Linked DNA regions of Drosophila melanogaster. The protein of the gene in region 2 purifies or fractionates together with the protein of the main gene of each other region. This does not show direct contact. Each region holds a gene or a part of one and is shown on either strand. Other genes may lie near its edges. The genes, in order: Axn, Klp64D, arm and Kap3.

Region 1 (7,397 bases), on a different chromosome or scaffold from region 2:
GTTTATTTACGAGCAATTGAACAATCTGAGACCCTCAAACAAACTTAAGCTTTCTGTACTGGACTGCACTTTGATTCTGAAACTCACTATACATGTTTGTGTTTTAAGAACGAATACAACCATTTCGAGGATTTTTTCTTAGTGGAGGACTACTGCCCCTTGAATATCCCGACCAGCTGTTGATGGACTGCCCTGCGGAGGAGCAGGAGTGCGAGTGGCGGTGCTGGGACGACCTCCAACATGATGATGCTCCATGTACATTGTACAACAGCACACAAAGGATGTTCTTTTCAGAGTGTCCGTGGTTGCGGCGGAGCAAGCGAGACGGCAGCAGGCGAATAGGAGTCATTGTGTGCAACCAATATGCGCAGGTCCAGATTGAGTCCCCAGACCCTGGTCCCCCCATTCTATGCCCTGCTGCCCAAGCCCAGACCAAATCCTGGCCCACTGCCAGAGTGGCAAGGCAAAGGAAGGACCAGACGCCCGCCCGTTCTTATTGTACATAAACAGAGCAGCGGAGTTGGGTTCGCATTGTAGTCCTTCCTGAAAGCCGAGGGGTGGGGCAAGGGTTGAGATGGAAGACCCACCTCCGGAGTCCGATTCCTCCCCTAAACACAAATGTGGAAATTATTTTCGAATAAGTTTGAAAACAATACGAAGGGAGGAGCGACCGGCGGCAGCCTCGTTTGTTTCTAATGAGGTTAAGACCGCCATTGCTCAACCAACCGCCCGATGAACGGCGTCTGATGGCGGTCTAGACTCCACGCCGGCATGGTCTGGCCCGGCAAACTGGGGGAAACACGGGCACTACTCACTGCGGCTGCGAGTATTGCCGAAGGTCAATAGTGGCACTTTGTGCGCGGCAAAAGTTGCCAGCACAGGCGGAAAAGTTCAGCGCGGAAGCGCCTACTTTTCAGGTGCAACGCCCATTACAAGGACACCGAAGGACCCGAAGGATGCACTTGGGCGCGGTCAACTGTTGCTCCTCTCCGAGACAACGGAAACTTATTCAATTCCTTAATCAGAGTGCTGCAGCCCAATAAACAATAGTGAAATCATGGTATCCTTATTGCACTAAGAGGATTTTTCAATTGAGTGAAAAGGTAGTTTCCGAATAATAACCAATTAAAAAGGATTTATTAAAACCCTTCAGGATGTCATGATTATTAGGTTTCGAGAAATGGAAAAGGACCTAAGTATATCAATGTAAATCAGTTTTTCATACTAGTTTATATTTCTGAGATTCTCGCATGCAATCGTAGTTGTCTTAAACTTCAAAACCATTGACAAAGTAAAAATAAGTTGTATACTCACATATGTAATTTGCATAAAAAATTCAACATGAAATCAGGGGAAGATATTGGTATTCCGAATGGTTCCAGTTGTTCCTGAAAGAATAGTGAAATGAAGAAAAGATTAGATCAATTGAAATCATTTTGAAATAAGCTAAGACAATATATAATACTAAAATATTTGTTCGAAAGACTAAGGTTGTAAACATATAGTTAAGAGTTTGGAAAAAAAAAAGATTAGAGCCATTGTTATCCATTTGGTATAAATTTATGTTATATGTTAAAGTTAAAGTTTTATCTGAAGACTAATGTTTCTAGCCTTACCAAGCATTATGGGATAGTTAAAAAAATTATGAACACTTTTACTCTGTTTTAAATATACATATATATAAATAAATGTATATAAAATATGTATATATAATAGGCAAGCTTTATACATAAGGATATTATCAATTATCAATTGGGAGAAAAGAGATTTGGCCATTGGGTATATTTTTGTTCGCCAAGAAAGTAAGTCCAAAACAATGAAAATAATTTTAAGAAAAATCTTTAGTCTCGTGCATCTCATAAATAATCATTCAAACCAAAACATAATACAAATACCATAAATAAATTAAACAAAAAAACTTTTTTATATGCCAGTCATAAATATTGCATCAAAGATAAAATTGGAAGGTATTTTAATAGAGATAAAATTGTATAAATATTATTTTTGGCTCAGCTTAAATAAATTTACATTTCAGAGCCCAAATCGAATTAGTTTTCAACACAGCGAACTTTAAATCAATCAGTAGCAACCACCCAAGTGCCTCCTTTTTTTCAATAAGCCATACATATTGGATTTGTGGGGGAGAAAATATTTCGCGCACGGGTGCATCCAATAAACGCCTAAATAAATCTAAAGAATGCTTTGAATATAAAGGGTGATAGAACACTAACCGATTAAACTCAAGTGAGAAATGGCCAACGCTTGAGAACATATCAATCCATAGCGCTGCAAGTCCTTTAAGATGGTTGAATCTTTTTATGTCCGGTTTGTAGAAATGTTTAACTACACGCTTCACTTAATTACTCTTATTCGCATAAATTCCTATTTACGTAGCTTATATTACAGTTGATGCAGTACATTCAGTACCTGAAAGAAGAGGATGTGTAAATTGTTAAATAGGTAACATTGTATATTATGGATATGAATGCAGGATGATAATATAATTATGTTTTACTGTTTTGTTAATTAATTGATTTGTTAATGAAGTTAAAAGATATATACAGTTTCTATGGGATCCCATTGGCACATACACCTCAGAAATAAATTAAATGTGCTGCAAACTAATTAATTGAGCAATATTTTAGTTGGATGATTAGAATTTGCATGGCGTTCTAAATGACTTTTTCAATGATCAGGTATCATCCTTCGATTTAATGAAATATACATTTCATAAAGTTACTATTATTGCAAAATATATGCTCACATTTCTTACAAAGGATCATTCAAATTACTATTAATATTTGAGATATTAGTTAGACGTGAATAAATTGTCTAATTCCAATCATTTCCCTTGATACAACTAGATCATTAATCAGACTTATGTTGTGCCTTTCTTAAAGTATTAATATTAGTCCTTAAGTAAGTTGTGCAAATCCAATAATCCACAAACTGCGTAAGAAAGTAATAGCATTAGTTATGGATTGTGCATGGGAATTCCAAGAGCAGTACTCACCCTTAGATTCGTGTATCCTCGGCTTCACTCAATTGGGATGGCAGACGACTGATCCTGGCGCAGTCCTGACGGCCCTGGCTCCAATCTTCGATGGCGGTGACGATGGCAATGGCGATGACGAGGTGGGTTTGGACGGGTGTAATTTGATTGTAGCTTTAACGGCTGGACGCTTCGATTTCAATTGCAACTTAGCTTTCAATTTCGATTTCAATTTCAACTTCAATTTCGATATCGACGAGGATGCTTTCATTTTGATTAGTGTGCTCAACGAGAGGGACGCGTGACTAACAATTAATGGAAGGACGATTTGTGGAGTTCAACAAACAAGCAAACGTAAACAAGAGAGTGTGGTTAACAAGGCGCTGGCACGATGACCGGACTAAATGCTAAACAAGGCTGCAGATCCTCTCCTCGCGCACGGATCCCGATCCTCTCCTCTGCTCTCCTCAACTCAAGTGGGCTGGCCCGAGGGCATATCCTATCCTATCCTATCCCGGTGTCTGAGCTGCCTGCTGTAAACAATGGCTGTATGTCTCTTAACTTAATGCTTCGCCAGGAGCAGTCATCCTCGTCCGCTGGCAACTTTGGGCTCTCCGCGGGGAGAAAATCGTGCTGAAGCGCCGCCCTCTAGAGCATTTCGGCGTCTCCGGGCTCCTGCACTGTGAGAAATCTGTGCTCGGTGGCCTTTCCACTCAGTTCTGCACCATTTGTGCACTTTTCCGTCTGCTGCTTCTTTATTTTGTGTATTTTGTTGCTGTTGCCTCCGCTGGTTGTGGGTGCTGCTGCTGTTGCCGTTCGATTTTCATGGACGTATCGCTGCGGGCCGCTGTGCGCCGAGTCTCCGGAACGCGCACACTCTTTTAGGGCTCCGTGGCGCCGCTTATTCAGTGGTAAATAATAGATTTATTGAATGGCAAAACAAAATGTAGTTCGACACAAATGTTAGACGGCGAGACGAACGATTACATGCTAGAGTTGCGTGGTTCGAAATCGAACTGGTTCGATAGCTCGCCTCGGGGATGCCAACTGGATTGCCAACACTGCGAAAGGTGGCAGCTCGACTTGGGGTCACCTTGTGGTTCGCGTCCGCACTTATGTTGCGCTACAAGGCCTACAGGTGGCGCCAGGGATGATAGAAGGGTAGATAGGTTTTCTATTTTCATCGACTGGAAAGGCAGCAGCACTCACAGCTTCAAATTCAAATCTTTTATTGTCGAACAATTCTCGAATTTCGTATTCAGCATGGACAAGCCTCAGTACGCTCGCGTGGTCGAGATCCTTGGACGCACTGGATCCCAAGGGCAGTGCACCCAGGTGCGGGTGGAGTTCCTCGGCGACCAAAGCCGCCAGATTATTCGGAATGTCAAAGGACCTGTTCGCGTGGGCGACATCCTGTCGCTGCTGGAAACTGAACGCGAGGCCAGGAGACTGCGCTGATGTATGAATTACACCTGTTTGATTTCCCAAATCAAGTTAATAAACGATTTTGTTTGTTCAATTTTTAAATCCCAAACTATCGATTTCCTATCGCTAAGCTATCGATTCTTGCCATCGCAGCCCTAACAGCTGTTTGTGTTGATTCCGATTCCGCGAGACACTCGGATACAGATACTCACGCTCAGATACTCAGTTACTCAGCTACTCAGATACTCGTTCGCAGCGGACGGCCGAGCTGAGATACTCGATCGCGAGCTTGTTGTTGCCCCAGCCAGGCGAAAGTGAAAACGGAACGCCCAGATGAACGCCGAATAAATCAAGCGAAGTAGCAACAAATGCGGGAAATGTGAAAATGCGCGCGGCAGTGGGTTGAAGCGAGACGGGTAGAGCTAGAGAGATGCCCGTTTGCCCGCTGTGCGTGTGTGTGTGTGCAGCGGCGGCCGTAGCAGCTGCTGGTATGTGTGTGTACCGCAAGTGCAGGAGCCTGCATTGCAAAAACAAAAGCGAGTGCGAAAAGAACAGCAAACAGGATTAAAAGTGACGGATTCGATTCCCCGGGGAATCCTACCAATTAGTGCAAATTCCGAAATGCACGGAAAAGCGAACGAAAGCTGCGAATTCGTTACACTGCTGCACTTGGACTTTTCGGGGCGCTCTGAAAAATCGATTGACCGCAAGGAAAGTGGCGACCGCGAAATAATGCAGGCATTGGGCTCCTTCGAGGCAGCTGCACTGCGCGAAAAGTCCAGCAAAGGTGAGTGCGGACAGCTAGGGCAATTAAAGCAACAAAAGGCCAAAGATTGTCGTTAAATTCGATCCATAAAAAGTGGGCGAAAAAACAATGCAAAGCGTACGGCGCATTTGCCTGAGTTTTCGTGTTTGTTTGTTTTGGTTTTTTGCCTTCGCTTTCGGCACGTCAATTTTCGCCACTTATTTCGTAACAACTAAACCGAAAATACCTGTTCGTTCCACGCCCCCTGCCACCGCCCACCTCCCACCGCCCCCCGACACACCCAAAAAAAAAGTGCTTGCATTTGCGAATAGAGGTGGTTCCTACACCGGAAGAAATTACTGCCTGCGATTTAATGTTATTATTCTAATTAAAAAGCCTATGCATTATGAATATTTCATTCATAAATAAATCAAAGTCAATGAACTTTTATCTGTTGCTGCAAGCGCTCATTTATTCATAGAAACTAGCTTAAATGGTGAATATTTCATTCGGTTTTCCAACTTCAAAATCACTTTCTAAGTGGTATTCGAAACTCCGCACAGTGTACTGCTATTCCTAGACCTTTCATTGCCTGAATTTCAAAGTCGCGTTCAGTCGTCAGTCAATTGGCCCACTTACAATTTATTAATAAAGGGACCGGGTCATTAATGTTCATTGATTTTCCGCACTTAAGTGCGTCAGATTGACGTTACCAGGAAACATGGTAATTAGTGGCCCCTGGCACAAAGGGGCGTGATTAGCTATTCCGCCGGAGTGAGAGTCCTGAGATCGGGAACTCCACTCTTCCACTGGCTTGGATTCGCAGTCAGTATAGTATCACATCTCATTCGTAATAGCACATTCCAGGGAACTTCGCATGTGACTTGGTTCTGGAATGTCCACTTGTGAATCGAAACTGCTTTCAACTGGCGGCAACGTGACTCCAAAGCAAACTAGTTAGGTTTCGCGGAAAAGCTGTAAAAACTACATACATATTATTTGCAGTGCCTCATTTTCAAATATCGTTTTTGGTTCCTCATGTGAGTAGTTAAGGCTCGGGGGAATTTTTAATGTTTATACAGATACATACTTGTATGTAGCTTATTACTTAGTTTCGACCTTGAACAACATCGCTGATATGAGCTAATTTCATTATTCTCCTCAGAATAAAGTGCGCTTCATATGTGTAAATATGAAAAAGTACATACACAGGCACGTTTATGTTGTATAGAAGTCTCGCACGTTACTCATGGTTGGTGGAATCATCTCTTAACTCTATAAGATGATTACAGCACAGCTCCAAATGGGTCACTGCGATTGCATCCAAAAACGCCCCCAAAAACATCACAGCAAACTTGCTGTGATGTTGCATGATTCTAGTGACTAGTGGCTAGTTGCTATAGTGGGTATTATCTAGTTCTTTCCCGATTCTGCCACACAATTGCGCTTCCTCGAGGCAAAGGCGTTCCACTTGTGAAATTTCGCTGAGCCGCCCGCCGACGAATCTATTTTTACGCCAATTGACGCGAGGCCGCGGATTTGTGATTTCAGAATTGAGATTTCAGACGCGTTCCGCCCACTCGGCAGGCTCTCTCGCCTCCACGCGACGTCCATGTGCTCCTCCACTCCGACCCGCCATGTCCACACATCGCCATTCATCTGGCGAGCTGTGAGCCTCCGACGCTAATTAAACTCAAGTGCCCAGTTCCAAGTGCCCAGTGCCCAAGCACGGATCCCACTCGTTACCCTTCTGATTAGCATTCCCATGCCGAGCTCCATTGTCCGCTCTGGAGAAACTGATCTCATCGGAGACAGGGCCCAACAGCCCAACAGCCAGCCTATATAAAAGATATTCCATCTTAAACTTACTTCTAAATTATGTTGGATTCCTTCACAAACAAAGCGAAAGTTTTATTGTGGTAGTATGCTTCTGTATAGAAGGTTATCATCTATGAAAGCATTCGAATCGTAGGAATGTACGTACTATCAATAGCTCAACTAATTCCAGATGACGAGATGAAGGCGCTCACCCAGTGAAGAGCCAGCAGTTACTCGAATCCGAGGAAGCGAGGAGCGACGAGATGTCGAAAATGAGGGGTAATTGTAATTGAATCGAGTTTCCGGCTTAGAAAAGCCAGCCTTGCTAAATCCATTAAATGTTTGCCATTGAATAGGTCGCATTCTGATCCCACTGCCCAATACCGGAGCGATGGGTCGCAAGCGCAACAACTTCTA
Region 2 (7,225 bases):
CTCAATGCGATTGGTTTGATTGGCGGCGAATGGGAACCAAACACACACACACACACACACACGGCTATTTCGATGCAAAAACTTGTGTCACATCAGATTATCGAAATGTTTGATATGGTTATTGTTGCTATGCGGCGTATTGGAAATATCAACGGCTAGTAACTAATTATACAGCGTGGTCGAGTATATGTAATGTGCTGCTTGAGTGTGTTTTTTATTGGGGAGTTTGTTAGAACGCGAGAACGTGGCGTTTATATATGAAATAAAATTTCTTTTTTGTAATTTAGTTGAGCGTCGGGCAATACTCTCAATTTCTTGCACGCGTTACGTATATATTTTTAGCGTCGGCAATTGCACATCCAAATGAAATTGAACAGATAACAACGAACTGAAAACTCGAGTTCAACACGCAAACACAGATCACAGAGAATTAAAGCGATTTTCCTTCCGTTTCGACTATGCGCAGCGGACAGACTGATATTGTGGGCCTGGGGCCGAAGAGTTTTACGATCGCTCGGTTCGGTCTGTCCGCCGAAAGTGCGAGAGCAACCACTCAACTACACTCGACAACAAAACAGTCATTTATTTTGAATATGGTGTTGAATTTAATATATAGTCTATATGAAATGCTATGTGAATCTTGTTTATTTTATACAGAAATATATACTAAATTAAAATGAACCTGCTATCTGATATTCAAGTTTCTAAAAAAGTCCTAATAAAACCGATAGCTTCATGATTGATCATGATTACTATTTCCTTGTAGCTTGGTGTTTCGGTTATTTGTTTCCACTCAATTGGCTGCCAGTGGAGTGAGTAACTTTACCTTGCTCTCGGTGATTTTTCACTCCGATCTTTTTCTTTCACCTGGCAACGCAATTCTCTTTTTCACTTGGCAGATTGGTTTAATGTGAATATATGTAAATTGAACAGTTATTCGTGACGTCTTACTGCGATACCGCTGTCCGCTGAGTGGAGCTCCGCCCCCCAATTCGCAACTAGCTGCAGCTAAATGGGCAAACAAAACGTGCGGCGATAAGAGCAAACTGATAAAGCGGAAATGCTTTCAGCCAGATTCATTTGGGTAGCCTAAAATCTAAGCTGCGACAGGCGTAGAAATTCGCACAAAGGTAAATAAATAATGGATAAAAGTACAGTTTGCTTTCCTTATCGCAGGCTTACCTGCCCAAACAATCGCATCCCCTGCAGGTGGGATGAGTAATCCGGTATCGAAATAACACCTGAACGGACGGCATTTAAGCGAAACGAACATCAAAAAAAGAAGAAAGGACTATTAAATTATGACATTCTTATTTATCGTTCGACTTAAAGCTTTCACATTCTTGGGTTTATTTTAATTTTAAATTATCAGCAACCCAGATTTTTAAATTCCTTACGATTGACTTTTTTCATTTTGCCTTAGAACCTTTTTTGGCGCTGTGCTTTGTTTGCGTTGTGTCAAGCGATTGGCATCTGGTTCCATAGTGTAGCGGTTATCACGTCTGCTTTACACGCAGAAGGTCTCCGGTTCGATCCCGGATGGAACCAGGAGGAAGTAACTTTTTTTTATTTTTATTTTTTTAAACGCTTACTAAGTGGAGTTTTAGCAAACAAAAGTATATAATATGTTATATATAATTCTTTCGTGTTCATAGTATACACAAAAATCAGTTGTTTTTACTTAAGTATTATTTAGTATTTTGTGGGAATAAAAAACTTGAATTTATGTTTTCTGTCGTAATAAAAATTAATAAACATATAATGAATTTAAAAAAATATATACTTTTGTCAACGTGGTTCCATCCGGGATCGAACCGGAGACCTTCTGCGTGTAAAGCAGACGTGATAACCGCTACACTATGGAACCTGTTATGAGTAGGTCGGCCAAATTTCAGTTTTCTTCAGCAAGCCCGGAAAATTTAAAGCATGCTTTCAAGCTGCTAAAAAATAAAAAGAAATTACGCATAATTCCTTGAAGTAAGAATATAAAATAATTACGTGTGAGTATCATATTTTTATTTAAAAGCCAAGAGCACACAATAGTTATATATTTGTGCCTAATCGGGTAAAATCTTGTTACTACTTAGTTGTAAGTATTATAAAATAAATATAAGTTAGAAAGTAAAATTACAAACACAGTAGTAAATATATTGCACCGTTGTTCAACCTAAAAAGTATGTCCTAAGCAATAAATCAACAAAAACTAAGGTCTAACAAAAAGGAAATTCGCTGAGCAAATGAATCTGAGGCTGTAGAAAATCAAGATTAGCAGGAGCAGAAACCAAAATTGGACGCGCAGACCGCCGAGGACATGCAGCTGGACTAGCAGTCGATTGTCCTTCCAACACTAGCTTCAATATCGCCTGGCAGTCGTCGGTCTGGGCACACCCGAGGTTCGCGGCCTGGCGGATTTGGAGCGCATTGGATTGGACACGCCATCGGTGTTGTAGCTGAGATAGACATGTGAGAGATCGAGGAAATCTGGCTCCTTGCCACTCGTCTTGTGCGCCGAGATGTGTTTCCTCATATTGTTACCCGTGTAGGCCACACACTTCAGCTGCCACTCGCCGATGTCCTCGTTCCAGTGCGTATACTGATTAATCATCGATTGGTACTCCTTGGGCACATAGGAATTTAATACCAGCTCACATAAGGCCAATTCCCTGGATAGGCTCCTGATATTCTCGTATATGCCCTCCTTTTCGCGCTGGTGCTCCTGCTGCTGATCCGCCAGCTCCGATTTCACGCCCATCAGCATCTGCATCACCCGGTGTATCTTCTTGGTAATGCCAGTGCTGGCATCTTGAAGCGTGGAGTAACGCTCCTCAATGTCAATCCTTTCGGTGGCCTTTTGCTGTAGAGTTTGCTTCAGCGCCTCCTCGGACTTTTCATGTTGTTCCAGCTCCGCAATGGATTGCTCTAGCAGCAGCTCTTGCGTCTGGGCTTTCTCCAGCAGATTCTCGCCGCCAACGAGAATTTTACCTTCCAATGAGACTAGTTTATTGCGAAGTGTTTCCTGCTCCGTCTTAGCATGCTCGATTTCCTTCTGATGCTCGTTTTTGCGCTTGGCCAGTTCCTCCTTTTCGGCATCGGTTTTCTCGCGCTTCTTCTTGGGTTTTTTCTCCACAGCCTGGATCGTTGATGATTCCAATTCGATCTCCAGTGGTGCCTCCAGTTCGTCATCTGCTGTATCCTCCTCCTCTTCGGAGCTCGGTGGCTCCTCCTCCAAGCTGTCGCCCTCCTCCAATTGCTTGCGAAGTCGGGCAATCTCCTCCTGAAAGTGACGAAGCAAAGCATCCTTGGGTTCCTCATTGATGTGCATGCGATTTTGGATATTCTTAGCACGACTAGCATAGCGAAGTGTGGATATAGTTTCCATATAATTGCTATCCGCTGGACTAATGGTGGCACACATGACGGTCTTGGAGTTACCACCGAGGGAGTCCTGCAGAAGTCGAGTTAACTTGGAGTTCCGATACGGTATGTGGGTGCTTTTTCCATCCACCAAAGCACTGATCACATTTCCCAGCACCGATAGCGAAAGATTAATCTTGGTGGCCTCTTTAAGTCTCTGTCCACTGGCCTGGGTCTTCGACTGCCTTTCGGAGCCGGCGAGATCCACCAGCTGTAGTTTACCCATCCTTACGTGCTGGACATCACCTTCGCCCAGCTCACTTCTCTCCACAGTAATGGAGAAAATGGCATGGGAGCGGGAGCTCTCCTGGTTCATTTTGGTGGCTCCCACGGCACGATTTTTGTTACCCAAACGCATGATGTTCTCCAGATCATCGGCGTTGTGCACCACATAGCCACTGAGATCCTTAACAAAGACACCGATGTCCGGTCGCTCCTTGACCTCCAGGCTCTTGCCCACATCCTTGCCCAGTAGATCCCGCACCTCTTCGTTATAGATCTCCATGTAGCTGACGCGCACCAGGAACTTCTGATTCTCCTTGGCCTTAGCAATGTGACCAAAGATGTGCGCAAATGCATTCGGAATGATGCCCTTTGTTTGCGGCGAATCCGGATTCCCCGACATGGTATACGTCTTGCCGGTGCCCGTTTGTCCGTAGGCCAAGATGGTGCCATTATAGCCCTCCAGCACCTTGTCCACAATCGGACGAGCGGTGTCCACATAGAGATCCATTTGATTGGAGCCACCATCGAATACATTGTCGAAGTAGTACGTTTTCGGCGGTTCATTGGCGGTGGCATTCGGTTTCATCACCGTAATGGCCCGGTTGATCTTATCCACCGAAATCGCACTTAGCGCTCCCGCGGACAACTCATTTTTGTCCATGGGTCGCGTTCGCACCACCACACGCACATTCTCGATTTCGTCATCGAGTTGGGCCGTTGTTCCCGCATTTGCCTCCTCCTGCGGCATGGCGATCTACGTCCTGGCTTTATTCCTCGTCTAGTGAAAGCTATTAACCACTATTTGCGCTGACCGCACTTAGTGGAAATCAATAAAGGGGGTTTTTTCTCGCATTTGTTTATGCGTTGCTAGGTTTTTTTTGTTGGCGAATCATTAACGGGTGGTCAGCTGTTATCGATAAGTGTGCGAAAAACGGGCGAGAAGGATGCCAGACCAGCGGAAAAATCTATTCATCAGTGAGACAAAATAATTTTATATATTTTTTTTTAAATAATATATATATAAAAACAATTAGCAAAAATAAAAATAAAATTATAATATTGACCTGTGATATAAGCAATCGAAGGTTATTTTGTGAACTGCGATAATTGTACTTATTTTTACTTTTTGAAAATCCTTTTTCAAGGCTTTTAAGAATTTTATAGATATTTCGAAAAGAATTCAATAATAAAAATTAAAATCTTTTTTTGTGATAACAGCGCAGTGAAACATGAAAAATTACATAACAGCAACCAAAAATTTGGCTAAGGCTAAGGCAGCTGTTTTTAGAGCTGTTCTGTCAACTTATCTTATGAAATCATCAAGTGGTTTCTAAAAAATCAAAAAATCCAACTTAATGTCAACAAGTAGTTCCAATTAGATTATGAAGTATTTTGAATCAACAAGTTGGAAAACCGTAAATTCGAAGATATAATAAAGAACATGAAAGAAAAAAAAAACACTAAAAGCAATTAAGGTACACTGTGTAACAAATATTTATTAAAAAAGAAAAAAATAAAAAGTGATATTTTAAATGTATTATTTAAATTATACATACATTAATATCATATTATAAATAAATATCATACAGTAAATAAAAAAATAATAATAAAATAAAATTAAAATATCTGTTTAAAAATACCAAAATATCGCCCCCGCCGATTCCGATTCGCTGGCAAACGAGCGAGTTGCCCACCACCACCTCCGCGAGAGAGCAGCGAAGAAGAGGAAGACGTTGTGGCAGTGGTACTGAAAGATTGATTCGATTGGCGATTGGCTGCCCGCAGAGTTTCCTTAAACGACCAGACGACGCAGAAATTAAAACTCCGGCCACCATGGCAGCGACATTGCGAAGATTCCATGGCTTGAGATTGCTGAAATCCGCGCCAGCACTCAGCCTGCAGCAGGTAAAGATCGTGAACGGCGGATGCAAGTTTTTCAACAGCCACCGCAGCACCTTGAAGGAGTCGTGTGTCCGATGGAGAAAAACATGAAATAATACCGTAAAACATAAAATACAAGGACCAATGGTGCACTCTAGGTGGCACAGTGAGTGGTATCCGCAATTCCAATGGGATTAAATGAACTCGGATACGAACCGAACAATCCAATTATGTAACTCCGTGCAAAAATTCTTACTCTCCTTGGCCGAACATCCAAACTAAATGACATCCGTTCTTTTTGCAGGCGAAGAACCTCTCCTCCGCCGGCAGCTGGGCCAGTGGCAACAAGAAGGTAAGTCAGCTAGTCAGGAATCTCACATATTCCCCCACTTCGCATTTCATAATACCCGATCGGACCTAACCTCAAAACGCGTTTGCTTCTCGGTGACTGTGTGCGGCTGTATGTGCGTGTGTGTGCATCACGAACAGCTGATCGGCGCCTTGGGAGCAATCACCGGCGGAGTGGGCGCCCTTATCTACGCCCTGGAGCAGTCCGTGCAGGCATCTGGCGGCGAGGTGCACTCCCCCGCGCAACTCTGGAACCACAAGGGCCTCTTCGACGCTTTGGACCACCAGAGGTAATCCAAAAAACGGCGGTTAAACTGATCAGTGGTCGGGAACTGGGCATTTCCATCTGTGGTGGAGCTAACTAAGTGCATTTCTAGTGAATTGGTTTAGATTGCTGTCAAATTTCAAAAAGAGTTCTTTAATGATTAGAGAGATTTTGTTTGAAGTATTTTATTTTATCTCAAACTCGCCAATACAAATATCATATTCAATTTAGAAAACGTAGCCAATTTTCCCGGCAAATCTTCTGTAATCTTTAAAAACTGATAACAACTATAGATTAACAACAATACTTTGCTCATAAAAGCTAATCAGAACAGCAACTAGCAGAACATAGAAGATTAATGGATTGTTAAATGGGGATTTTAGTTAAAATTAAAGATATTAAAGAATGTTTTGTAGTATCTGCATATAAGATGGCATTTGCCCACTGACCCTGCTATCCAGTTAGTAACATCATCTCAATTCCTACTTTCAGCGTTCGTCGCGGCTACGAGGTGTACAAGCAGGTGTGCTCCGCCTGCCACTCGATGCAATACATTGCCTACCGCAATCTGGTTGGTGTCACCCACACCGAAGCCGAGGCTAAGGCTGAAGCCGAGCAGATCACGGTGGGTATTCGAATTTTTAGATTTCTAGATCTAAATGTTTCCTAATTGATTTGAATGTCCCCGTTACAGGTCAAGGACGGTCCCGATGATACCGGCAACTACTACACTCGTCCTGGCAAGCTGTCGGACTACTTCCCATCGCCGTATCCCAACGAGGAGGCGGCCCGTGCTGCCAACAACGGTGCTTATCCTCCGGATCTGAGCTACATCGTGTCGGCCCGCAAGGGCGGAGAGGATTACATCTTCTCGCTGCTCACGGGCTACCATGATGCTCCTGCCGGAGTGGTGCTGCGCGAGGGTCAGTACTTCAACCCGTACTTCCCGGGCGGTGCCATTTCCATGGCGCAGGTTTTGTACAACGAGGTGGGTGGCTGATCAAATACTAGTTCTATATTTTCCTTCTCAGAAAGAAACTAATGATTTGAAAACGATATAAGAGAACACGATTGCAATCTTTAATGATTATC
Region 3 (7,316 bases), on a different chromosome or scaffold from region 2:
CCAATGACGGCCTTGATCAAGGGCCAGCGTGATGGTGGATGCAATAGCTTTACAATCACCGATAGTCCGTAGTTTAAGCGTACGGCATTCTGGGCCAACTCAGAGTCCACATGACGCGAGGTCAAGTGACGCAGGGCACATACAGCCGGCTCGGTAATCTCTTCGCGATCTCCAGCATTGATAATAGTACGGACGAGGGCGTCCACACCGCCCACCTGACAAACGGTGGCCTTGTTGCGCTGATTGTTGCACGTCAGATTTGAAAGGATACCGGCGGCACAGGTGACCACGTTGACATCGGTCGAGCCCAGAACCTGGACGAGAGATTGGAGCAAAGCTTCAAGGCCCTCCACCTTAGTGGCTGCATCCGAAAGATTGCGGAGCGTCCACAAACAGTTTTGCACAAGGCGCGGTGACATGTTACCCAAGTGCATAGCCAGCGCCTGCATTCCACCGGCATCCACGATGGCCGGCTTGTTGCTGGAGCAAACGGAGAGCACTTTCAGTACCCGCGAAGTGGTCCACAGAAGCTTCTCGTAGTCGTAGGAGCGCATAATGCGCACGAGTTCGTTGGGCCCTCCGGAGGCAAGAATTATTAACTTGCTCTCCTGGTTACCATAGGCCAGAATTTGCAAGCAATCTGTGACGATAGCCAGAAACTTAACGTTGTTTCGTTGCAGCAGAGTAACCATCTTCTGAAGCCCGCCGGCCAGGCGCACAGCCATCTTAGAGCCATCCTGGTGGAGCAGCAAATTGTGCAGAGTGGTAATTGCATAGAACAGCACACTCTCCACTGGCGAGGAGAGCAACTTGACGAGTGCCGGGATGCCGCCACTCTTGAAGATGGCCAGCAGACCCTGGCGATGGTGTGATAAGTTGTGCAGTGTTCCTACCGCTGCCTTGGTGCTCTCCAGATCGTTGCTGTTAGAGATGGCACGCACCAAAGCGGCTACCATCTGAGGGCTGTTCATAATGGCATGTCGCGAGGCCTCCTTCTTAGACAGCTGGTGGACCATCATGGCGGCCTGGGAAACTACCACCTGATCCTCATCGTTCAGCAGCTTGATCAACTCGGGTATGGCCCTGGTTGCCAGCTCAGCGTCGTCCTGGTAGTTGATCAGATTGACCACCGCGTGCTTTAGCATTTGTGACGGTTCCGAAAGACGTTGCACTGCCGTCGGCTGTTGGGGATCAAACTGGGTGGAGGGAATCTCAATGCCCTCCTCCAGGGTTTCCGGAAACATGGCAGCACGTACACGTTGGGAGCGTGTCTGGCTCAGTTGCTGGTTCATATCGTCCACTTGGTCTTGTGTGAAATTCTGCGGGAAACCGGTGTCCAGGTCGAACATAAGTGGATCTCCCTCCATCTCCTCGTCCTCCTTGCCAGACAGCGATGGAACCTGGGTCACGGCACCCGAGTGGATGCCGGAGTCGCCCAAGTACGAATTCTGCTGCCACATGAGGGTCTGCTCCTTGGCGGATACCATCGGCGGCAGATCAGGTGGATTGTATTGATTATTATGCGACACTGCAAAAGATTGATTGCAAAACGTTTTAGAGTGAATTGACAAAAATATACACTCCAACTTTTCTAACTCGAATCACCGATGTGTTTCGATCATTTCCATTGCAACTTAATCGTGTTATAAGACCCCAAAGAAGCAGAAATGAAGTGTAAGAATAATTTTTGTATGCTCTTCTTTAACTTGTTAACATCTGTCTACACATTCATGGTAACTTTTCTTTTTTAAAACCTTTTGAAGTGGAAAAACGACAGAGTAGAACGGAATACTGAGTGCAGCCCACCATCTACATATAATGCAACGAATTCGGGTGCGGGGATGCACACGCTTTAACCCTCTGCAACCCATTTGCATGCGCTTTCGTTAAAAGATGGCCAAATGGGAAACGACAGCGACTGACAGCAAAGTGAGCAGCATCCCAACAGCCGGCGCAAAAAATGCAAAAGGAAAACTTTGAAGCGTGACAAATTGAACGCTGCAGGATATTCCCAGAAAGTTCAGGGCGCTGGGCGGAATGGGTTTGGTGCAGGGGGTCAGATGCTCACACATGAGAGGGTACTGGCAAAAGGATTTGTGGGCGTTTTGTTTGCCACTTCAGTCTTAATTATGCCGTTCCAGGCCCAGCTTTTTGCCTTTGTTGTTTTACTTATGCGCGGACACAGCACGGCCACGCCCCTTCTGTATGCATTCGTAATTACAAACTTCACTGCTCTTCGCCATCCACTCTGCAATACTACAGTCAAATCTCAATAGATCGAACACGGTGCTGAATATAAATGACTCCATAAAAAGCAGCATTGAAACATGCTGGTAACCTATGGACCAGGTCTCCAAATGTGGTCTCTGAGTTCAACAAAATGGTTTAGCCCACAGCTGATGAATTTTGTTCGCTATAAGCACATGCGACTGTAATACTGTAATCGCTTTTCGTTTCATTTCCCAAATCGATTAAGCGTTTTTTCTTCGCCATATCCGTCGAGTGGGCCACGCACTTGAATGGAGTACTGTGTTGGGATGGAGGGCGCGGGCGGAGCCTTTAATTGCATGTTGCCGCTTACTAATTAAATTCTGCACAGCAGCAGCGCCAGAAAAAAGCAAAGGCAGAAGCCAAGAAAAATGTGCAGCCAACTCGACTGCGAGTTCGGGAGACGGGGTACGAGAACAAGGTCCCCGGAGAAGACCAAGGAGCGATGGCAAAAGGGTGGCGTGGGTTGGAGTGCCACGTGCAAGTACACGAGTCCTTGAATGTGTGTGTGCGTAAGTGGATAGCATGGGGAGGGAATGGAGTTTCAAAGGATAGTGAGCAGCGGCCTACTCAAGGGGGTTTCGGGGTTGTACAGCAATTAGTTGAAAACTAAACTAAATACTTAATAGTGGTCGAATTAAAAGGCCACTTCCTAAATGGCTATGAACTGTTCACTACTGTCGTCCTAGATATTGACATTCCTCGACTTTCTGTGGCAAAAGTGATGGGAGTTCAATGAAGCCAACATGCATTAACGAGCTCCTCCCCTTTGGTGAAGTCCTCTCCTGCGCCTCTGAGAGCCTCACCAACGCGCTCTGCAAATCAAGTGTCAAAAAGAAATCTTCTTTCCTACTCCGTTTACTGCGTCAGCGGAAAAGTGTAAATTTCAAACTCCGAAGTAGAAGGGAGCGCTTTTTTTTTTGATGAATCGGATATAAGCACAGGCCGCTGGTGGTTGATGGCCCAACAAAAAAAAGATCATCAAGCATTACAAGTATGTAGATGTACACAAATTATTTGTCTGGGGTGGATGGATATAGTTGTTACCCTGTATTCTGCAGACAACCCACAAAGGGAATATCAGAAACAAATGACAAAAGCAAATACTTTATGTCAAATTTGCCAAATTTGTCAAAAACAAGCATCGCTCCCTCATTTAACGTTGGAGAGGGGTTGTTATTGTATTGCGATACGGGGATAATTGTTTCACAGATACAATGCGCTGTTGCATCCCCTTCATAGGGCCATGTATTCTGACTATTTATCCTAAATGTTCTAAACTCTAGAGCTACCATGACTTAATTGCGTCCATTGAAACGCAATATCATCTCTAATTTGATGAAATCGGATCCTGTATACAACTGCATTTGGACTGGGTATACAAAAGCCCAAAGTGGAACACTCTGATACACAGTTAACTTTGATGCTCTTTGCATACTCCCTGGAAGATGGGAAAGGGAAGAGTACCGCTGCTGGAAATACTTACTGGTTCGATTCTGGGCTGGCATGTAACTCATCTTGGTGATTGAGGCGCTTTACACCACACCTGCAAGAAAGAGACGGAGAGTATATGAGTAATGTGCTGGACAGTCAATAACATGGAGTTCGTGTGTGCTTCGGATGGAGACCACGGAACTCCACTAAATGGGGGCCCCGGAAAGAAGGGCTTGTTGTGTTTGCAGACTGCCAACAGACGCAGATATCGTCCGTTAGTCACTTATTCTAGTCGTTGGTCTTTTTTTTTAACTCATTTCCGCTTTGAGATGCCGAAGCATAATATGAAATATGCTGCGTATACAAACAAACGCACTAATACATTCTTACGCAGGTAGAACGGGTATTTGTGGGTATGTGTGTGTCTACCTGCCGAAGACTTTGGCCACGAACCTTGAGTTATTTAATTACTTTGTTTAGCACTCTTTCAAATCTCATGCACTCCAACAAAAAACAAAATGGATTTTTCACTTCTCTCGAAAAAGGCGCAGCGGAAAATGCGACCGACCAGCACGCTCGTTTAAACGGAACAGAATCCAGATGCGGAGAGCGCAAGCAAAGCAAGGCACTTGCAACACCGCGCGTGCGGAGTGCGGGAAAGGGACAGGGAAAGAGACTGGGAGAGAAAGTAAAGGGCCGCGGCAGTGCAGCATACAAATGCAGTGCTGCGCAGAGTTGCCACACATCCAAACGATTGTGCCTACACACACATACTCGCGTAGGCAGCTCAGAAAGAATCCCAACTCCATTTCAGTTGTCGATTAGATAAAACACCTAACGATAAGCCTGCCTCTAGATTCGAAGAAAACGATTTCCTGTCTGTGGCATTGTTTACATTCCAGCGAGCAACAAAACAAGCGCCCGATTTACGGGGGAGGAATACATAAAAATGCCGTTTGTGTGTATCCAGATCATACACACACACATACACAGGCGCACATCCAGCGAACCCCTGCCCACCCCCGCGCCGACTTGTTTGCCATGGCTTTCCAACTTTCATGGCACACAGAAACTTTGGCTTTCCAAACGGATTCACTACCGACTAACAGTACTCACCGCGTCCAAGGAATTTAAGTCTGCTTTAGAGCAGGATTTATTTATTTAAAACGCTATAAGAAACAAAATAACAGCGAATTGTCTGCTCGAGAAAAACTGTGTATATGGCGACGAAACCCAACTAGCGATGGCCTGCTGCTGTCCCGATAACTCGATGGGCCCTGTGCGATAGGCCAAAGGAATTTTTCAAATTTTTTTTGTTCTGAGAACACAAAAATCTCACGAAATTTGTATAGCATTTCATCCTTAAGAAACTCAATTCACAATATTTATAATTTAGCTAAGGCGAATTTATTTCTAGTTCATGTTATCATGTTATCTCGAACTCACCGTTTATCTTGTATAAACATTTACCAACACAAGCACCTGAGTGTACATGAGGGTGTATGACAACACAGGTACGACCAAAAACTATTGTTTTTGGGCGACGAATTAAAGAAATATCTATGACTTTACTATTACTTACCGCTTCGAAAGTAAATTTATCTGCTCAAAGGCAGGTTAACGCACTTTTGACGCACTTAGATATTTAAATTCGACAAAAATCCCCGACTATGAAAACTGTGTATATGAGCGCAGAACAGATAACCGATAACTCCTCTATCGCAGGTGGCTGCCAACTTGCTTCAAAATAGAAAGCGCACTTTTTAAATTTCCAAAAGTATTCAAACACTGGTCTTTAATTTCTTAATACATATTTAAGTTGGGCAAGCAATATTGGTTTATGCAGTCGTAGAAGTGGGTTCATCGGTTATGGTCACAGCAGCTGGCGGCGGATCGCCGGCCTTCCGTTGATCCCTAAAGAACATGACCCACGCGCTCTTATGGATCTCTATTCCATCACATAGGCCATACACCTGGGCAAATCCGAAATAGGCAGCAACAGCGGCGACACCGAAGAGAGGTACCATTATGACTAGTCCTCCCAGGCAGGCGAAGAACACCATGGACACAATGGTCAGGAGTGTGCCTAAAACGAGTCGATAAGAACGTGATCTCTGGTAAACACTACGGAACGCACCTTCTAGCACCAGCAAACCTGTAAAGGTCATAACCATGGTGGCTATTCCAAACCCAAATATTATAAGGAAGGGCAGCATGAATACAAGACCACCAGCTAGCAGGCAGATAGCAACGTGCGGATTCCGGGTGCACCAGGCCGCGGTGGCCTCCAGGAAATCATTTCCACCTAGCTCGGACATCACAAAATCTGCCAGGCGGCAGATTTGAAGCCCTGCAATATGGCAACGTTATAACAAAGGCAACTTTTGTTACGCGGTGTGATGCATAAAACAGGTTAACAACCGTACAGAGTAGTACATATATAAGTAACTAATTGTGGCAGTAAGCAATTAAGCGCTTTTACAGATAGTACTTCAACTAGTGGACATACATGACCTGTAGAGAGTCTGGAGCAAGCTCTCCAGGAACTGGTCGCCAGTCAGAACTCCTGCACTACGATCGCCTGGGCCATGTATCTTTACGTGCTCCGGTTTGCTCTCTGTTCCCGATCCCGCAGACTTCTTGGCGTTTGCCTCTTTGGCTGCTTTGCGAGCCTTGTTCGAGTGAGCCTGCAGAGTCGATCAAATCAAATCAGTTATGAATATTATGTGAGTCAAAGAACCCAAGTGATTAGATGCCGGCTGCCACTGAGTCCGTGAAACGCGACCTTTGACTTGCGATGCCGATTCCAGCCGAAATCTACGGATTCTTCCGAAGATGCCGGAACACCCACTTCACTCACACCCGTACCCACCATGTTGCGTGGCTACTGCGAGAATCTCAGGCGGTTGCTGTGCGCATTACAGGAGGAGTCTGTTCCAGGTTCATTCGCCTGCTTGAAGCAACAGTAAATGAAAACAATATAAATAAACAAAAAATAATCGACGTCGTAGCCCTGAAACTAAATCATCGAGGGAGAGCTGCCACCTTTTTTTTTACTAAATTTGAATTAGACAAGATGCGTTTCTTAATAATGATCTAGCGTGGCTTAGTTTTGCTTTTTAATCATAATTAATTTGTTTACAAAAAAAAAATTAACACTATGTTAAAAAAAAAATTATAAATTTATAATGGCGGTCAGCGTGCGACATTTCTTCGCCGTAGGATTAGTGAAGCAGGAATCTGAGTCCGTTAAACGGAGGACGCGCCGTAATCCTCTCCGCCACCAAGCGCTCCCCGTGAACAGTCATGCCGCAGCGCACCTTCTTGGCATGCAGAAAGTTCAGATCGGCGGCTCGCTCTCCACTTTTGAGCGGCAACCAGCCGTACACCTGCGACTCCAGGAGCGGAACAGCTTTTCCGAGCTGCCTCTGACGCTCCACATGCTTCTCAGGCCAAGTGTGCCGTAGGTACCTCAAGGTATCCGTCGGCTGGCGTTGCTCATACTGGGCGTAGAACTTCCGTGTTAGCGGATGAACTGGAAGGCAGGAGAAGATATTATTAGCAGTAGTGAACAATTTTGTAAACTATTGTAAAACTTTCAATGATTAAAGTTT
Region 4 (9,850 bases), on a different chromosome or scaffold from region 2:
GCAGCCAGAGATGTCTGCTGCAAGCACTGGTCCGGATGTATCTGGCTTGGTCCCGTCAGCAGGAGAAGCTGGAGCAGTTTCAAGCGGAGTTCGCCCAGCTGCGGGCCAGCGACGAACGCGTCGAGCTCACCGAGGAATTTGTGGAGTCCCTGCTGCAGGAGCTGCGCTCCAGTGCCGATCTACAGGACGAGTGGCAGGTGGATGCTGCACGCGTGGCCATCGAGCGAATGCTGCTGGAGCAGATGTACGAGCAGGTGATGTTCCCCAACGAGGATGCCGATGTGTCGCGGGACGAGGTGCTCTCGGCGCATATTGGTAAACTGCAGCGCTTTGTACATCCCGCCCACCCGGCGCTGTGCATCGCCCAGGAGTATTTGGGCGAGGCTCCGTGGACGTTTGCCCAGCAACAGCTGTGCCACATGGCCGCCTACAAGACGCCACGCGAGAAGCTGCAGTGCATCATCAAGTGAGTCATGTGTGAAGTTTCCCTTTGGTATATCATTGCCTAACATACAAACTATCGTATCGCACAAAACTTTAGCTGCATCTCGAGCATCATGAGCCTGCTGCGCATGTCCAGTGGTCGGGTGCCCGCAGCCGATGATCTGCTGCCCGTGCTCATATACGTAGTGATAATGGTGAGTCATTAATGGTGAACCATTCGGCGGTTGCTAGTAATTAACTAATCATTTTCGACGTATGCGCAGGCCAATCCCCCGTATCTGCTATCCACCGTGGAGTATATCAGCTGCTTTCTGGGCAAAAAGCTGGAGGGCGAGGACGAGTTCTATTGGACGCTCTTCGGATCCGTGGTCAAGTTCATCAAGACCATGGACTATCTAGACTAGCGATATTTGTTAAGGGCTTAGGCGGATGTATCTGTAGATTTCTTTATCGCTTTGTTGTAGGCATTACACCAATCTCCCATCCCACTCTCTCCTCCAGTCGATATTTTCCATATTTATATATGTATATGTATGTCTGTGTCTGATATTTGTGTAAAAATTTGTTAAAACCATAGTCTAAGTGCAAAAACTGCGGCAGATGTGCGAAGCGATCCAAGTCAAATCGAAGTGGAAACGGAACACCAATCAGTGGGAGATGCCGATGCTGAAGCTGAAGTGGAGATATCTAGGTTAAGCTTAACATTGAACGCTAGAAGGCCTCGCCTTACGGATATCCACGATATATATATATATATATATATATATATATAAAGTGAACTAGAGAGCATATTCTTCTATTTATATATACACGTACCATACATACATACCTAGATATATGCATGTTTATCGGATCGGTCTAGCCACTGTCATAAGTATGTTTCGGAAACGAACTGCAACTTAATATTCCTTATTGTGTAACACAAAATTAAAAGCCAATATTATTTCAAATTGTTGCATTTTAATGGCGAGACAAACAGCTCTGCGGAATGGGAAAAGTACTCACCCCTTTTTTTTTTTTTTTTTTGAACAGCCAACAAAACCAAAGAAAACAATACGAACTAGGTGAACATTTACATTAGCTTTGTTTATATTCTTCGGCGTTTCATTATGTCGGCGTTTCATTTGTCGCCCACTGTTTAATATTACAATTTGACTTTTGTTCGTAAGATATTCGAGAAAACGAAAAGTTTAGGTTCGGTAAACTAAAACAAGTACAACTAAAAACGTTCGACGTAATACTTTAAGTGAGAGATTATTGCACAGTAATTGCGTTGCGAACAACCAAAGTGGAAGCTAAGCCATACATCGCACTTAAACAAGACCTCAATAAATTAAATATTAATAAATAACAAACAAAAAAATACCATACCAATAAGTAAGTAACCAAACTTAAACTAACCAGTGTCTGTGCGCCGTTGCTCATTTTGAATGTCTTGAGTACAAAGTTGCCGCGTCGCTAAAATCATTTAACGTCTTTGACTAACAAGCGTGAAAGGTGTCGTATATATGTATACATATATATATATATATAAATATCCAATAAATCCAAGCAGAAGGTCGTTAATAGGCAGAGTGACTAAACATGTACACGGGAGGGCGGGCAATCGGCAGAAGCATCTTAATTCAAATTCAATCGATTCGGGTTAGGACCTTTCTCCTCATTTAAGCCATCAGCAGCTCCTCGTGCAGACCATCGGCATCCAGGGATTTGTTCGACTTGAATATGTAGTTGTTGTCGCTGGAGCCCTGCGACTTGGAACTGGAGGTCATGTTGTACAAATCATCGAGATCCTGGCTGCGGCGATAGCTGTACCATGTGATTTATCACTTAATTACTCGAATCGAAGTGGAAACTTGGTCAAAACTCACGTGCTCAGTGGCCTGCTGTAGGTGGACATGGCCGGGCTGGCCGGATTGTTGTTGCTATGGTTGCTGTTGCTATTGCTGTCATTGTCGGCATTGTCGTTGTAGAGATCGCAATTGTCCAAGTACTCGGAGCGCAGATACGTGTCCAGATCATTGTCGCACTCGTCCTCCTGATCGGCGTAGTCCTGCTCATTGTCCTGGTCCTGCTGCGACTCCACCATGCACAGCCACTGCGAATTGTGGTTGCGGAACTTCTCCAGCTGCCATGTAACAACGAGAACAAGAAAACACAAACAAGTTTGTACTAAGATATGCCATATTTGGACTGGCAAGCAACTCACCTTGATGCGCTTGGCCCACTCGCTGTCGCTTATGGCAATAATGTCCAAGCAATAGTCGCACACCTTGCGGATCTCCTCGTTCTTGTCGTGCATCAGATCGATGAGATAGGCCGCCGATTCCGTCTCTTTGATCATGTACTCCCTGGTGCTTTCGTGTCGCAGGATTTGCTGAAACACAAAGATGATCTGCAGCACAATCTCGTCATCCTCCTGCTTCGCTTTAAGCAACTCGATCAGGGATATAACCACTTTGGCGCGGCAGAAGAGCAGGGCACACAACTCGTCGCAGGCACAGGTGCCCAAGTAAACAATGGTGTCCAGCACAAGGTCGTCCATTCTGGCGCACGGCAGCAGTATCTGTCTAATCCATGGAATCAGTTGGAAGTTCTGCAAGATCTGCGAGTAATCCAAATCGGTGAGGGCCAGGTTACCCAAAATGCCGAGGCACTCGACTATGAAGGCCTCGTCATCGCAGATGGTCAAAATGCGCGCCAGATCTCCCACATAGTCGATGAACTGCAGCTGCAGGGACTCGTGCTGCGACAAGTTGCGCAGCAGCTTCATCAGCAAGGCATCCTGGTACTTGAAGGCCCGATCCATTAGGCTATGCAATCTTTGGCCCTCCACCATAATCTGGGCATTACGGCGATTTAGCGAGAGATTAATGCACAAGGCAATGAGATCCAAATCGACTTTAACATTGAGGTTTAGGATTATGGCATCCGTGGCCATTTGCACGCACTCCGTTTGCGTGAACATGCCCTTCACTTTGTCATCCAAGCTCATGTGGTACAGTATTTTCACAGCAATGCCGTGATGCTTCTCATCGTTGATGAACATCACCAGCATGGGCAGATAGCCGGCGGCGATCATCTTGCGACGCAGTCCGCCGTCGAAGGAGAGATTGAAGACCAGCTTCAAGGTGACCTGCACCAGATCCGTGTGCGTGCTCTGGAACAATCGTGGCAACTTGGCCACAATGTTCAAAGCGCCCATCTCGTCCTTGTTGTCGCCCACAATCGATAGCTTCTTGAGGAACGTGCTGACGAGCATGAGTAGATCGATATTCTGCCTATCCAGCGCCTTGACCAACATCTTAACGATATGCTTGCGGCGCATCTTCTCCTCCAGCTTAACATTCTCGGCCATGTTCAGCAGCAGGTAGAAGGCCACGCGCAACAGTTGCTCCTGCTTTTTGGCAAAGATCTTAAGCTGCTTGTTCAGCCGATCGATCTCCTCCTTCTTCACTTTGGGATCATTCCTGTCCAGCGACTCGTTGCTTTGGGCCTTCTGTTCAGCGGGCACAGCCGGAGTATCGCCGCCAGGTGAACCGCCGGCGCAAAGGGACTCGTGATAGCTGCTATTCAGGATCTGACTCTTGATCAGCGACGATGACATGGAGCCGTGAAAGCTGCTCCAATTGCCCGACTTGGGACGCTGTTTTAGCTCCGGAATGCGACGACGCGGCGGCTCCATCTGAAAGTGAATTTGTTGAGTATTCGATAGATATGTTTTTCAAGAACTTATAGAAATAAAATTACCTCCTTGGGCTTCTCCTCGTTCATGATGTCCAGGAAATCGTCGGTGCTGCGGTTCAGCTTCTCCTTGCTGGCCTTTGCCGAATGTGGAGTGGATGATCCATTGGGCTGTTTGCGCACGTCCAGCTCATTTCTCATTGTCTCGTAGCGACGCAGCTCATAGTCAATCACATCCATGCACAGCGATCCAATCTGAAATAGATTAACAACGATTAAATGAGTGCTTAGAACTTAATTAAGAAACTCTATTCCCACCTTATATTGCACAATGAGCGGATGAAACTTGGTGTATGTGGAAAAGCAGAAGAATATGTAGATTATGTTGGTGGAGAGATCCAGGGATTTGCGCCAGTCCTCGCGCAGAACACGTGACAAGGCGCTGAGGCAGGCTTCTAAAATGATGAAATAGTACATTGGGTTTGGGTTCAAAACTACAGAACTGCAAACTTATCCTTACCATTCTTTTCCAGCTCTTCAAGATTATCGGGATTTCGCGCCATCTGTAGGATCATGGCCGAGCCTCGAATGCGTTCGCCCAGCTCCTCGTACAGCAGCTCCACATACTCATCGATATTGTTTATGGACACATCCGCCGTGGGCGTGGCGGCACTCAGGGCATTCGAGACACCATTGCTAGCTCCAGTGGATCCTCCGCCGCTGCCGGTGCTGCTGGTCATGGCCGCCACACTGCTGTGCGATCGAGCAGAGGAGCGGGTGTGCGAAGTGTGCAGCGCCGCCGATCGCCGGCTGTGAGTGTTGTTATCCGGTATATCTAATGGGTACTGAGTGTTAGTATGGATTTCTGCTAACAATCTAACTGCTTACCATTGCTTGCATTATCCTTGCGATTCTTCAGATAAAAGATTATCTGCTCGACGTCATTAAGCTGGGACTTGTGGATGAGATCGCACTTCTCCACCACTTCTCGTGCCAAGGCAGCCGGATCCGTTTTGGCGTTCAGCGAACGGAGTCGTATGATTTTTTGACAGTGCTGGGCGATTAAATACAATACATGCATTAGTTAACGACTGAAATAATGTACTATTAGGCTAATTGTTTTTGCTGTTATTTTGCTATTTATAAACATAGAGTAATTATTAGGATTGAGGAACTAGTTTAGGACCACTTCAGGGCAATTAACCACTTCGCATCTAAGCTGAAAACTTTTTTGGTCGCCAATATTTATGGCCAAGAGCAAAACATAAGAGACTTACTTATGTAGTACATATTTATGGTCGTGAACAATCGGCGAAAAATAAGCTTGTCGCTCGGCCAAAAAACGTGAATTGAGGTTAAAGACCCGGCCAACCAACCGCTTTTGGGTATCTTTTTTTTTTTGTTGCTGTGGTTTTACATTTTTCACTCACTACTTGGAGCGCAGGCCGTCATCGACCCCGTTGTTGTTGCGCTATCGATTGGGCCGCTCAATGTCAGCTTCTGCCCCCCGCCCCTTAACCCTTTTCGGGGCACACCGGAAGAAACAGAAGTAGCTTTTTTAAGTACTCATTCGGATGTTTTTGTAGAACAATGACTGCTAGTATTTAAACTAATAAGCAATATATGTATGTGTACACATCTAGATCAATTTTTCAACCTATTCGATTAAGGATCAACTTTGTTTCCTTTTTTTTTATGAACCTAACATAGTTAAGAACTAAGTTACAGATGTTCGCATATTGTTGTTATTATATTCTTTCCCTATCAACATCTTTGATACCAATAATGCTGGTCCTATTTTAATTTTCTAATATCTACTAGCATTTTCTCCCAGTGCAGCGATGTGTAACCGTGCGTTCTTACCTTCTTTTCCTCGATCATCGGATTGTTGGGCTCCCCGAAGACGGTGGCCTCCAGTTGGTAGTTGACAATCAGCGCCTTATCCGTGGGATGCGGTTCAATGGATCCGCCTTTCCACCTCCTTCGTTGTTTGTTTGTTTGTTGTTGTCGTTGCATTTGTTTTGGATTGAGAGCGAGACAAATTGTTGGATCAATCATAAATTATGCGGTTCAATGCGTAATGAGGTAATAGATTTTTCAATCCAATTCTTTTTTTGAGCCTGGCTTAACTTGTGCTTTTGTTTTAATAAAACGAACAAAAAAGTTAAGAACCCAACGAATAACGAATAACGATTAACGGTTGCAAATAACAAAAAACAAAAGGAGGAAGCGTGAACGCAAAGTGGAAAATCAATAGAGAGCGCCAGGTGATTGTGGCTCTCTTTCTGACGCATGACGAGTGCTTTAGCTATTTCTTTTGTTCTTCGGCCACTTGTACACCCACACATGAAAACAAACAAACACACACACGCACGCACGCACGATCTAATCCCATACATACGCACTTTTTTATAAACTTGGCGTCATCGTTTGTTTGCATTGCAGTTGTTGTTGCTGCTGCTGTCGGAGAGCGACTAGAATTTGTCAAATTGTTTATGGAAAGCACAGGCTCCTCTTCGGTGGGTGGCGGATGCGGGGGGTGGCGGTTTTGGTGGCGCGGAGTGGGGCTCCTTTGCAGCTGCTGCTCTCTTTGCGCTCTCTTCTGCTCGCACAGATCGCCGGCAATCGCATTTATTATGTAATAGACGTAGTGAATCACAATTGGCAGCAGCACCAGGCCCGAGATTATTTGGAAAATTAATAACAAAACAAATTGCATGCGATTGCAATGCGACTTCCGATTTAATGTCGATAAGTGCTAGTGCTGGCACAACTGTCTGCTCACTGGCGGTACTATCGATGGTGCCACGGCACCCGGCAATTACCGATAGCACTCAATCGATACAAACCAATAAGCGAATGTTCAAATTCAAGTTGGCGGTTGTATTCTAATTGGGAACTTGCCATTCATAATATGCAGTATACTAACAACTTTGTTTTTCCTCGAACTTCCTTGACCGGCTAGAAACAGGTGTGATTAGCCAAGAGAGCATCACTGTTCTGTTCTGGGTGCCAAGAACCAAAGTCTGGCAACGACTGCAGCCAGAACAGCTGGGCCGGCGTTGCCAGGTGCAAAGAACGTAGATGAGCAACAGAAAAGCAAACGAAATGGAATGAAGGAACAACAATAAAAGAATCGCTACTTTGTAGTATTATTAACCAAAAAAAAGCGCGGCGCGATCACAATGTTTCTGACTGCGAACGGTGTCGGTTGTCTCTACTGCGTGTGAGCCGAGTGGAGCGCAGCGCCGCGAATTGTTTACATTGTGCTAGGAAAATCACAACAAACAAACCAGCAAACAGTCTCGACTGACAATAACAATAACAATAGCAAATAACATGCAAATAAAATGCATTTCAAGCCGCGCAAATACTAAATACTGATTCAAATGAAACGCACTATACGATGACCATTTAAAAGAATCGCCAAGCAGGAGGAAGCGAAAAGAATTCGAAAAGCGCAAAGCGAGCCGAAGAAAGTGTACAAAATCAGGCCAAACCGATTTGTTTTTTTTTTTTTTTTTTTTGTTCTGTCGTATTTTCCCTTCTTTTTTCTACCGTTTTTTTTTGTGTTTTTGTTGTGGTGGGCGGTCGCTTCTCTTTTCGCGCAAGAACAACAAATGAGGTGGAGCAGCGCCTGACAATGGAATTTCTGGAGAACCTGTACAAAACGCTGCACTCCCTGTTGTGTGAGTAATATCGAATATTTGGCGCCCGATAAGGCGCACCGCTGACCTATGTACATACATACATACATAACAAATGCCCCTCCACCAACTGCATACCTTGTGATTCTAGCCTCCTACATCGATCTGGACTATTCGCTATGGCTATATCGCTTCCTCACCCCCCTGATTGTCACCTTTCTGCTGCCGCTGGTCTTCGTGGCCCTCATCTACATTTCGTTCCTGGTGCTATTCATCTACAAGCTGCACAGGTAAGCGAAATGGAAATGTTGGAAAGCTGCGTATAAGTTGGGTGGGAAATTGGAATTACAACAATTACAGTGTGCTTCGCGGGCTCAATTGCAACTGTTAATGAACTCTCTCATGCTGATCGCGCACTTTTGGAGCCAAGTTTCCCCCACTCACCCTTACCACGCACCCCTTCCCCCTTTGGCCGGCGTCTTCCGTCCCGCTCTGCACCTGTAATTAAAAGGGAACATAAAAAGAGATGGCGTTGTAAGGAAGGGGCGTAGAGTGGGAGAGAGTTGGGCAGCCAGTGTTGCCAACAAAAAAAGCTAGATAAAACAAAGCACGGGAATACAGTGGACACTCTATAAGGCAAACAGAAAACGTAATATAGTCCAATAAACTTAGTTTTCACTGTTTTTAAGGGAACTTATGATGCAGCTGTTTCCCAAAACGCTGAAATTAACATTTTGACAAACCGTGAATATGTGTTGAATCATCGAAATTATGGGCATTAAAAAAAGTGCTCAGCAATAATTGATCGTTTTCTGCAAATTAAGTAAATTAATACGATAAGCATAATCTACATGTGTTTCTAGCTCGAAAAAGTTTTTGAAACTAAAGCAATTACTTGAGTTCTTAGATTTCAGTTGTAAAAACTGCTGTTATCGATCTAAAAAAAAGGATTGATATGTGTACCAGATAGTAATATATTTGAATTATATTCATCTAGATAGTATATATAGTTGGAATATAGCCAAGTTGGGCTGCACTGACTACACTGACCCCTGAAGAACATTACACCCTCGACCATTGCACCGATACTGAAAATGAAAAGCCAAGTCGAACGGCAGGTGATCGACTCGGCCAACTTTTACTCGGCTTATAAATATACATATATGTATGTATATATACTCAAATATATACTTGAACTGGCCTGTGTTGGCGTGCTTCTATTTATTCTACATTTCCAACTCTCTAATGCCCAACCGGTTGGCCATGCTAATTAGCCGCGAAGCCCTAATGGCTAGAACTAAATTGGCCAGCGAATTCTGCAGCTCACGGGCTGGCTGCACACGGAGAAAAGTCGTTGCATTAGCTCGATTTCGATATCAGTTCCAAGTTCAAGAGGGCTAATAAATACATATGTACATATATTCGACTTCTGTTTGGTTAGGAATTTAGTACATGATTTCACGACGCTAATTCGTTGCTCAAACAAGATTATATTTTATGACGAACTTGGGCTTAAAAAATGCATTACAATCATATAATATATGTATATACACATTTCTATATGTTCTCAATGGATACATTTTATAAGAGAAATATTTTTATGATAATTTGCTTATTTAAAACATTCGTGCATGAAAAAGAAGTATAATATATATTATTATTATTATTTTAAGCTAAACTAGTGCAAAGATACAATTTGTAGTGCCCAATTTTACTATACTAGCTATGTTATACGCAGTGAAAAATGCCCTTCTTTTTGTGAGTACGATTCGATTAGAAACCAAAACACGCCAGGCATTGTATTGTTGAACCGACAGGCTTTACTGTACCGGTGGCTATCAGTGGACCACCCCCTCCCCTCTGCCGCTCTTTCCTCATGGGGATATGGGGCGTAATCACGGGAATTATGGAGCCACATTGAATCGAATGCAATTAGCTGTTGGAGCTCTTTTTGCCGCTGGTTCAATCGCTCCACTTGGACAAGTTCTGAGATAAAAACTTGACGATGCATAAACGATGTTCTCTCTTTTTTTTTAATGTGTCGTGCTTATCGCATGATAATTATCCCATCGTTT

What was found.
Region 1: the proteins of Klp64D (region 2) and Axn purify together in Drosophila melanogaster (affinity purification with western blotting, with the first as the bait; one study listed by BioGRID). This does not show direct contact.
Region 3: the proteins of Klp64D (region 2) and arm purify together in Drosophila melanogaster (affinity purification with western blotting; one study listed by BioGRID). This does not show direct contact.
Region 4: the proteins of Klp64D (region 2) and Kap3 purify together in Drosophila melanogaster (affinity purification with western blotting; 5 studies listed by BioGRID, with this or other methods). This does not show direct contact.

What each region holds. Positions count from the first base shown.
Region 1 is NT_033777.3:30,019,457-30,026,853, reverse strand, and holds the start of Axn (axin), read right to left. Parts: upstream 4,013-7,397; 5' UTR 3,014-4,012; intron 2,428-3,013; 5' UTR 2,232-2,427; intron 1,389-2,231; 5' UTR 1,315-1,388; intron 637-1,314; exon of another isoform or gene 1-636. Other genes in the region: RpS28a (ribosomal protein S28a), read left to right, coding at 4,256-4,450; Mgat2 (mannosyl (alpha-1,6-)-glycoprotein beta-1,2-N-acetylglucosaminyltransferase), read left to right, coding at 7,244-7,259, 7,337-7,397.
Region 2 is NT_037436.4:5,354,868-5,362,092, forward strand, and holds Klp64D (Kinesin-like protein at 64D), read right to left. Parts: upstream 4,526-7,225; 5' UTR 4,388-4,525; coding exon 2,354-4,387; 3' UTR 1,997-2,353; downstream 1-1,996. Other genes in the region: Cyt-c1 (cytochrome c1), read left to right, coding at 5,473-5,544, 5,825-5,872, 6,010-6,158, 6,626-6,758, 6,828-7,121.
Region 3 is NC_004354.4:1,895,226-1,902,541, forward strand, and holds the start of arm (armadillo), read right to left. Parts: upstream 5,422-7,316; 5' UTR 5,285-5,421; intron 4,949-5,284; exon of another isoform or gene 4,819-4,948; intron 4,386-4,818; exon of another isoform or gene 4,079-4,385; intron 3,815-4,078; 5' UTR 3,786-3,814; coding exon 3,755-3,785; intron 1,529-3,754; coding exon 1-1,528. Other genes in the region: Ldaf1 (lipid droplet assembly factor 1), read right to left, coding at 5,541-5,788, 5,840-6,052, 6,212-6,389, 6,488-6,577; CG32801 (uncharacterized protein), read right to left, coding at 6,927-7,237. UniProt on the Drosophila melanogaster protein: Isoform neural may associate with CadN and participate in the transmission of developmental information. Can associate with alpha-catenin.
Region 4 is NC_004354.4:11,332,681-11,342,530, forward strand, and holds Kap3 (kinesin associated protein 3), read right to left. Parts: upstream 6,909-9,850; 5' UTR 6,848-6,908; coding exon 6,534-6,847; intron 6,145-6,533; coding exon of another isoform or gene 6,110-6,144; coding exon 5,992-6,109; intron 5,183-5,991; coding exon 5,017-5,182; intron 4,964-5,016; coding exon 4,649-4,963; intron 4,584-4,648; coding exon 4,447-4,583; intron 4,384-4,446; coding exon 4,195-4,383; intron 4,130-4,194; coding exon 2,654-4,129; intron 2,573-2,653; coding exon 2,316-2,572; intron 2,254-2,315; coding exon 2,109-2,253; 3' UTR 1,507-2,108; downstream 1-1,506. Other genes in the region: Gapvd1 (GTPase activating protein and VPS9 domains 1), read left to right, coding at 1-466, 542-638, 708-848; CG34348 (uncharacterized protein), read left to right, coding at 7,772-7,817, 7,927-8,065.